Linked DNA regions of Bombyx mori. The protein of the gene in region 2 binds, or shares a complex with, the protein of the main gene of each other region. Links are inferred from orthologs where the notes say so. Each region holds a gene or a part of one and is shown on either strand. Other genes may lie near its edges.

Region 1 (3,518 bases), on a different chromosome or scaffold from region 2:
GGCAGGACCTACCCGTGCGGACTCACAAGAGGTCCTACCACCAGTAAACAATGAAAACATTAACAAAAAATGAAGACAACGTTAGGCAATCCAGGCGCCTTAGTAACAGAAATCGACGTGATTACTTCAGTGCGCCGCGTAGGACACCGGTGACCTACACGACAGTCAAAGGGTTAAACAGTAGCTTCGATTAAACGCGATCGATTCACCCAAACGATATAGCGTTAGTTATACTTAACAACATCGAAAGCTCGAACGAAAGCTCTAAAAAATCACTACACCGAATTAGTTAACAACGACCAAGCTTTGCTTCAATTTTAATTTTTTTTTTTTATAACAACCAAAACATTACAGTTGAAAGTTGACAAGAATTTGATTAATACCTTAATTCAGTTATAGATAAAACATTATCCTAATTTCTGTGACCAAACATCTAAGAATTTTCACCTAGCTGAATCGATCAATTAATTTTAGAAAATTATATTTTCAATAATTTAATATTGCATATTTTATTGTCACCTCCATTATTCTTGACGCTTCGATAACGGTCTCAATACACTAGTTGATTTTTTTTGTACTTTCACAGAAAATTGAAGCAAAGTTTTCTCGAACAACTAACTATACAGGGTGTTGCAAAATGAAAATTATATTAAGATTAGAAGAATTTACACTTCGAGGAGTGAAAAGCTATTTAGTTAAGCGACATTTCGCTTAACACGCGACATTTATCTTTATAATTAAAGGTGCGTTTTATTTGGTATCAGCATCAACAGTATGATGTATATAATTGAACTTCAATTATGTTTATTCCATTCAAATAGCTGAAGAAGTTTTTGTGTTTACGATGTTTTTATCAAATTTTAAATTTTAAATGGCTCTACTGTAAAATCGCAAAAATGTCACTTAAACCAAATATATATATTTTTTATTGCTTAGATGGGTGCACGAGCTCACAGCCCACCTGGTCTTAAGCGGTTACTGGAGCCCATAGACATGTACAACGTAAATGCGCCACCCACCTTCAGATATAAGTTCTAAGGTCTCAAGTATAGTTATAGCCTTGCACCCGTCAACTTATACACATATTGGGAATATATTGTTACTGTTAATGACACAGACAACGTTTTGATTGATAAAGCTTATTCTGTTTCTGTGGAATGCCAATAATCTACTTTATATATATATATATAAATATATAATTTTCATTTTTACCACACCCTGTACATGAAAATTAGCTTATAACTTGTCTGTATGTCTCGATTTGCGGTGCGCTGTCCTTGTGTCGGCCGATGAGCCTGCGACCGCAGCTCAACGCTCTGGCCGTCTCTAATACCACAGGGATAAGGTTCAAAATCGTGCGACAATACGATGCGAAGAATCTTGTTAAGAGTGATGATGACTGCAACTAAAAACCTACCTTCGATACGCTGAAGTATAGCACGGACAAGTCCCTCCTCATCCGTGAAATCGTTCAGATCCTCTATGAGTGCGTGAAAGCGACAAACGAATATGAAACTTGTGAACTAGACGTTAAGGCTCTAAATGGAAAGTGCCGTGATAATATTTTAAAACTAATATGCGATGACTGTATTCCGAGTTTAAATCTGTCATAAATACACGCCCCTTCCCCCATCTATTACACGGTGTGTTGTTACCGCGTTATACGATTATTAATGTATAACGCGCTCCTAAGAATATCAAATTGAATATTGAACATTTGCGTCTTATTTAAATCAATATAAGAACAATATAAATACATACAAAATATCCCCCGCGTTGTACGGGGGAAATGCGCATAGTACACGAAGTATATGAAATCGCGTTATAAGATCACCGCGTTATCATGAGAATTTCTGAAAGTCATATATAGACATGAATACATACAAAATATACGGGAAATCCCCGCGTTATACTGGGGAGGCGTGCGTATTACACGAATATATAAAATCGCGTTATAAGATCACCGCGTTATCATAAGAATGTATGATATAGATATATATTTTTATTTATGTCGATTTTATCTACGAATTTAAAAACTGAGGGTTATAACTGTTTTTTTTTCTAAATTAAAATACATAATGGATCATTGCGACAATATTGAATGGGATAAATTTGGATCTTTAATTGACCACGCCAATGTTAATGGAAGTTTATATTATTATCATCGGCACACGACGAGTTGTTCCTACATGACTTATTACGTCATAGTTGATTCACCCAAATAAGTTGAGTTTTTTGTTAACTACCCACATTTGGGATTTTTTTTAAACGTTTCGTAATTATTATTTTTATTGCTTAGATGGGTGAACGAGCTCGCGGCACACCTAGCGTTAAGTGGTTACCGAAGCTCATAAATGTCTACAATGTAAATGCGGCCACCCACCTTGAGATATAAGTTCTAAGGTCTCAGGTATAGTTACAACGGCTGCCCCACCCTTGAAACCGAAACGCGTTACTGCTTCACGGCAGAAACAGGCAGGGTGATGTAACCTACCCGGGCGGACTCACAAGAGGTCCTACCACCAGTAAAGAAGTAAATGTTAGGGTCGATGAGTACTGACCGCCAGCGACGCGGGGGTTGGCCTTCTTCCTAGGCCTCTCTCTGCTGAAGGCGGATCCGCTTTGCAGCGCCTCCATCAGACTGTAAGAGAAGTAATTCATTATTGATTGATTGATTGATGATTGATGAGTATTACTTAGTTTTATAGTGTAAGTTGATGTACATAATAATATGTGTAATAATGAATATTCAATGTTTGGATTGTACTGTTGATTTCATAAATAAATAAAACTATATACTGGTGACGATACTCGTTTGGCGCGTTAACAAAATCCATTGTTCTTGGAATTCAGATAGATACGGATGTCGGAAGCTAGTACGAGTATTACCTTTACTACAAAGATTGATCACTGATGTCCATAGACATCGACAACGGGTTCGATTTTTATTACACGATGTTATTCCTTCTTCGTGGAAGTCAATCGTGAACAATTGTTAAGTACGTATTTCATTAGAAAAATTGGTACCCGCCTGCGGGATTCGAACACCGGTGCATCGCTACATACGAATGCACCGGACGTCTTATCCTTTAGCCCTTCTTCTAGCCCTCAGCCGGAGCGGGGGGGGGGGTGAGTGCAGGGGCGTTGGGGCGGGCGGTTACCTGTCCATGACCCCGTCCTGCGCCTGCTCCATGTCCACGAACTGCTTGTAGCGGTGCTGCCGGTCGCGCCGCTCCTGCTCGGCCGCCGCGCGCGCCTCCCTCGCCCTGCGCGCCCGCGCCTCCCCCTCGCGCGCCAACACGTTCTCCTGGTGCGCGTGCTGTACAACGACAACGAGACATGTTAGTGCTTAAATCATTAGAGGGGCTCGCGGAGCCCATGGACATATACAACGTAAACACAGCCGCTTAGAGACCCAAGTTCCAATTTACAGTACAACGGCTGCTGCAGCCTTTGAATCGAAACGCATTAATGCTTCTCGATATGCAGGATAGTTTTGCCTGTAGTGGTGCTTATCT
Region 2 (4,154 bases):
CAAGTATTCTTCTTTTATTTTTATTGCCTGCCAGATTTTCAAAAGAGGTGACAAAAATGATTCTTGACATTAAGAAAGTACGTCAAATTTTTTTTAGTCGATTTTATAGTGCGCAATTTATTCTATGAACGATGTAACAGCATTTTATTGCATAATACTAATTGCCAACTACTATTTCACAACGAAAATTGGTATATGATTAAATGAGTATGTGACATAGATTGTACGATTTACCTAATTGTTACAAATATTCAATGTTATTTTTTGTTATGGATTTATTTGCTCCAACAATCATTATCAAACTTCACAGTGAATATCAATAAATTAGTTTCGTTTTTGCACATCCGATTTTTATGTTGGTCTGTAGGCTACTTTTTTCGTACCAATACTTATAGCCTTGAGAAGCTATATTAGCGTTACCCTTGCGTGTAGGTGAGCTCTTGGGGCTCTAATAAGGAAGTTGCTAGCACTGTCCCTAGCAAGAGCAGTGCTTCGCAGAGTCTACCACCGAATTGGAAACACGACCCATTGAGAAGATCCAGCGACGAGCTTAGTGGTCTGTGTCTGTGGGTTAATTTACTCGCCGAGCACGGCGTTGCAAGCGATGGGTTCAGTGGGAACGGTGACTGGTGCTTAAGGTACCTAAAAGAACCGTTTGTATCGGGAGGATCCGTAATTACGTGTTTAGGGCAAGGAGGCTTCGTTAATCACTTAACTACTACTACTACTGAGCTGGCGCTATGACCCCGAAGTGGGTCTCGGCCTCCGACAATAAACTTTGCCATTCATCCCGGCGCTGCGCAACATCTTGCCAGTCCGACACTTGGAGCTCCCGTAAATTTCCTTCCACAGCGTCATCATCACTTAACCCGTCTATTTAATTTAAAGTATAGATAAATATTTGATATTACTTAAATTACGCAATGATTACATCAAATTACTAAAGCATTTATTTCAGTAAGTATTTAAAGGATAGCTACTTTCTGATAACTACAGGTGAGAATTTTCGTTGTCCTATACTTTGTAGAGCTCAAATGATTGACCCTCCAAAACTTTACTTATATCAGTGTTAATTAAGTACACTCTGATTCTTATTGAATCATATCAACGGCCTCGGATCATGGAACACGTACCTACTTAAATAATTATGTACGCCTTCCATTTATGTGTAGTATATGATTATAATAGTTTTAAAGAAGCATATGTTTTAGATTTAAAACAAATATTGAAATTAACTCAGCAATTCGTTTAAAATAAATATTTTATTTCCATTTTGTTAATATTTTTTTACTAAAGGTACGATAAAATCGATTCTCTGACTGTTGACATTCGGACCATAGACAAATTTCTAGGCATTTACTGCTCTATTCAATCAATGGCGTCACACCGTCAATGACCCAACCCGCTACTTGGAGACTGTAACATTCAACATTTCCTATTTACAACGTGGTGTTATTGTATTCATTTGAAATATTTATTATCTTCGTAATTAGGTAAGTGTGTAATGAAATGAAATTGATTACAAATAAGGTAAAAACACCATATTAGTGGTTGTTGTCGAGCACAACACAAAATGGACGTCAAAATTATTGTGACGTGATTATGTAAAAAAAAGCAAAAATACTTCAAATATTTCTAGAAAGTTATCGTTTTTTTTAACACTATACCTATCGCTTTAATTTCATTCTCCGTAGCCATTGAATACTTATACTCAAATAGTACCACGGGACTGAAAGGTAACAGGAACTCGGAGGCACTTGTCTTGCGGACGACAAACACACCCTGTTGGCTGTTATCGGTCGCTCGGCTACAATACTATCTCAGGAAATAGTTCTTTGTTTTGTGCTCGAAATGTTCTTTAAAAGCAGTTTTCTTTTAATTCGACCCTTTTAAAGGTCAATGCCCTTTGAATGTGTTCCTATTTTGTAGTGTGCTTGGCATTTCATTTGCTATGCGACGTATGAGACCCTGATTATCGCCGAGTCGGAATGCAGTTTGTGTAATGCACTTAAAGCTAATTAGTATGGGTGTCGATCGCTTTTGTTTTTAACTATTAACATTTTTAAATATATTTTTTTCCTCCTAAATAACTGTATTTTTGTTGGGCTTCTAATAACAATTCGTGAATTAGTTGAAGATTTGGAAAAAGTCAGTAATAACATTCAGGTCAAGGACTGCTAGATTTAAAATAAAAAATGGTAAATTATTTAAATCAATTGTTGATTTCAACTTAACAGTTGTAGAATTGACTGTATTCTACCCAAGGAGCTTATTTCAGTTGTCAATTAAAAAGATTTCTTAATGCAATAATGAATTAAGAGTGACTGGATATTAGAATGCAGCTTAGGAGGATAATGGTATCTTTACAATGATTAAAAATAGTTTTAACTTCTCATAATATTAAACTATGAACCAGTGTATCCCAATACATGGAATAAACAACATTACTCATCTTCATTTTCTCATGATTTATTCTCCTCAATTTTTTTATATTAAAACCTTTATAAGGTATATTTAAAGTTATATTTAAAGGCTTAACATATTACCAGGTTACTGTTTAGCTATACATATATTCAGTCGTACTATTATATTCAATAAAGTAAAAGTAAGACAAATATTTTATTTTACTGTTATCACCAAAACAACAGTAATACTTGCCTAAGCGAAATTTCTCAATGTGGATCATAAAATAACTTAACACAGTGAAATCATTAGTTGAATCAAAATGTTCATAATACCATTAATAGTAATCACAATGTATAGATATTTTTACCCATTTTGAAAGATAATATTTGAAACTGCTACATTTTAAATCAGATAATGTTAATGTCTAGGTAGTTGTAGGATGAATGGTGATAACAGGGAGTATGAGCTCCAAGCTGTATCATTGGCATAATCATAAACCATGTGTATATTAATTTTTATTAATACAAAATATGTAGAAGTTGACTTGACATTTAGTTCAACTTTGAATAACAGTATACGACCTTCATATCGCTGGATCTATTAATTTAATTTTGAATAATCTATTTTATCATTCTTAGTTAATAATGTGTGGGTGTGGGTATTTATTAGAAACATTGCATCACATGCTTAATAGTAATATTTTATTTTAATTCTGTTAAAAAGAAAATTATAAACTAAGCAAGTTTGTCTGTAACATGATTTTGTTTACAATACAATTTCTACAGTGGAATTTATGCTCGCAATCATAAAAAGAGTATGTAGGTATGTAGTAATAATATATGTATAAGGCTTGCAACTAAGTTCTCGCTGTTTCTCAATAGATGGCTGCAGCAGTAAGTGCTGGTCGATTTTGATAGATCAAATATATTGTGAACCAAGCTTAGACAGATGGTAAATAAAAGAAACATTAAATTTATTGAAAATTATGTTGTTACATATACTTTTGGTTGTGTGAAACTGTCTGATTTTATAACAAATAAGTATCATATGCGGGAAGTGTTTCTTTTCTTCTTTCATTTGAAAAATACGCTGGATGAAGCTCTTCGAGAACTACAAAAAGTTTATGGCAATGCTGCTTTAAGCGAAACTATATGCTGTGATTGGTTCAGTCAGTTCATAGACAGTGGTTTCGATATTGATGACTGTCAAAGTAAAGGAAAGCTAAATTCAACGAAGTCGCTGTCTTCAAATTTGTATCTGATTGAATCAGTGGCTGATGCAAAATCCGCTAGCCTCAGCATAAGCAGTTGCTCACAAAGTCATTTACAAGTTATCACATCTATTGAAAGTATTTCAAAAGCAAGGAGCCTGGATTCCTTATTAGTTAAAGTCAAAATGTTACAAAAAGAAGAGTTATATTCATAGCATTAGCCTGCACAGTTCGGCTGTATACTCAGACTGTGACGATTGTGCTGTGTACTTGGTGGGACCAGGTCAGGAGTATTTATTTTGAGCAGTTGAAACCAAATTGAAACGACCCATAGGGAATGACACCAAACTCAATTAATGTGATATAGCGCTGCACAAAATATGGACATAATATGACATGATATAGTGATTCCCCTGTATGACATCATTAGGCCTCACCTTGCCAAATCCATTTAAACTTACTTTGAAACACTCAAATGGGGTGTCTTACTCTGCCACTGTATACCCCAGATATTCCACCATCCGATTTATATTTATAA

Evidence for each region.
Region 1: the proteins of cdc42 homolog (region 2) and protein diaphanous are in contact, whole or in part, in a crystal structure (PDB 3EG5), measured with the Mus musculus proteins. The link is inferred for Bombyx mori from reciprocal best matches to the Homo sapiens genes CDC42 and DIAPH1. Residues at the interface, in NP_033991.1 of Mus musculus: Val36, Phe37, Gln61, Glu62, Asp63, Tyr64, Asp65, Arg66, Leu67, Pro69, Leu70, Pro73, Glu95, Lys96, Pro99, Glu100, His103, His104; in NP_031884.1 of Mus musculus: Met90, Asp93, Met94, Asn95, Leu96, Lys100, Pro103, Leu104, Lys107, Ile111, Met115, Gln118, Tyr119, Thr122, Ser133, Tyr139, Ser158, Arg160, Val161, Ser162, Leu163, Pro167, Val168, Val171, Arg210, Lys213, Ala214, Asn217, Asn218.

The regions. Positions count from the first base shown.
Region 1 is NC_085129.1:19,600,746-19,604,263, forward strand, and holds part of protein diaphanous, read right to left. Parts: intron 3,320-3,518; coding exon 3,162-3,319; intron 2,642-3,161; coding exon 2,562-2,641; intron 1,327-2,561; coding exon of another isoform or gene 1,232-1,326; exon of another isoform or gene 1-1,231. UniProt on the Homo sapiens protein: Actin nucleation and elongation factor required for the assembly of F-actin structures, such as actin cables and stress fibers. Binds to the barbed end of the actin filament and slows down actin polymerization and depolymerization.
Region 2 is NC_085107.1:13,964,444-13,968,597, reverse strand, and holds the start of cdc42 homolog, read left to right. Parts: upstream 1-1,344; 5' UTR 1,345-1,493; intron 1,494-1,698; exon of another isoform or gene 1,699-1,895; intron 1,896-3,287; exon of another isoform or gene 3,288-3,357; intron 3,358-3,453; coding exon of another isoform or gene 3,454-3,831; intron 3,832-4,154. Other genes in the region: uncharacterized protein LOC134199721, read left to right, coding at 3,454-3,831. UniProt on the Homo sapiens protein: Plasma membrane-associated small GTPase which cycles between an active GTP-bound and an inactive GDP-bound state. In active state binds to a variety of effector proteins to regulate cellular responses. Involved in epithelial cell polarization processes.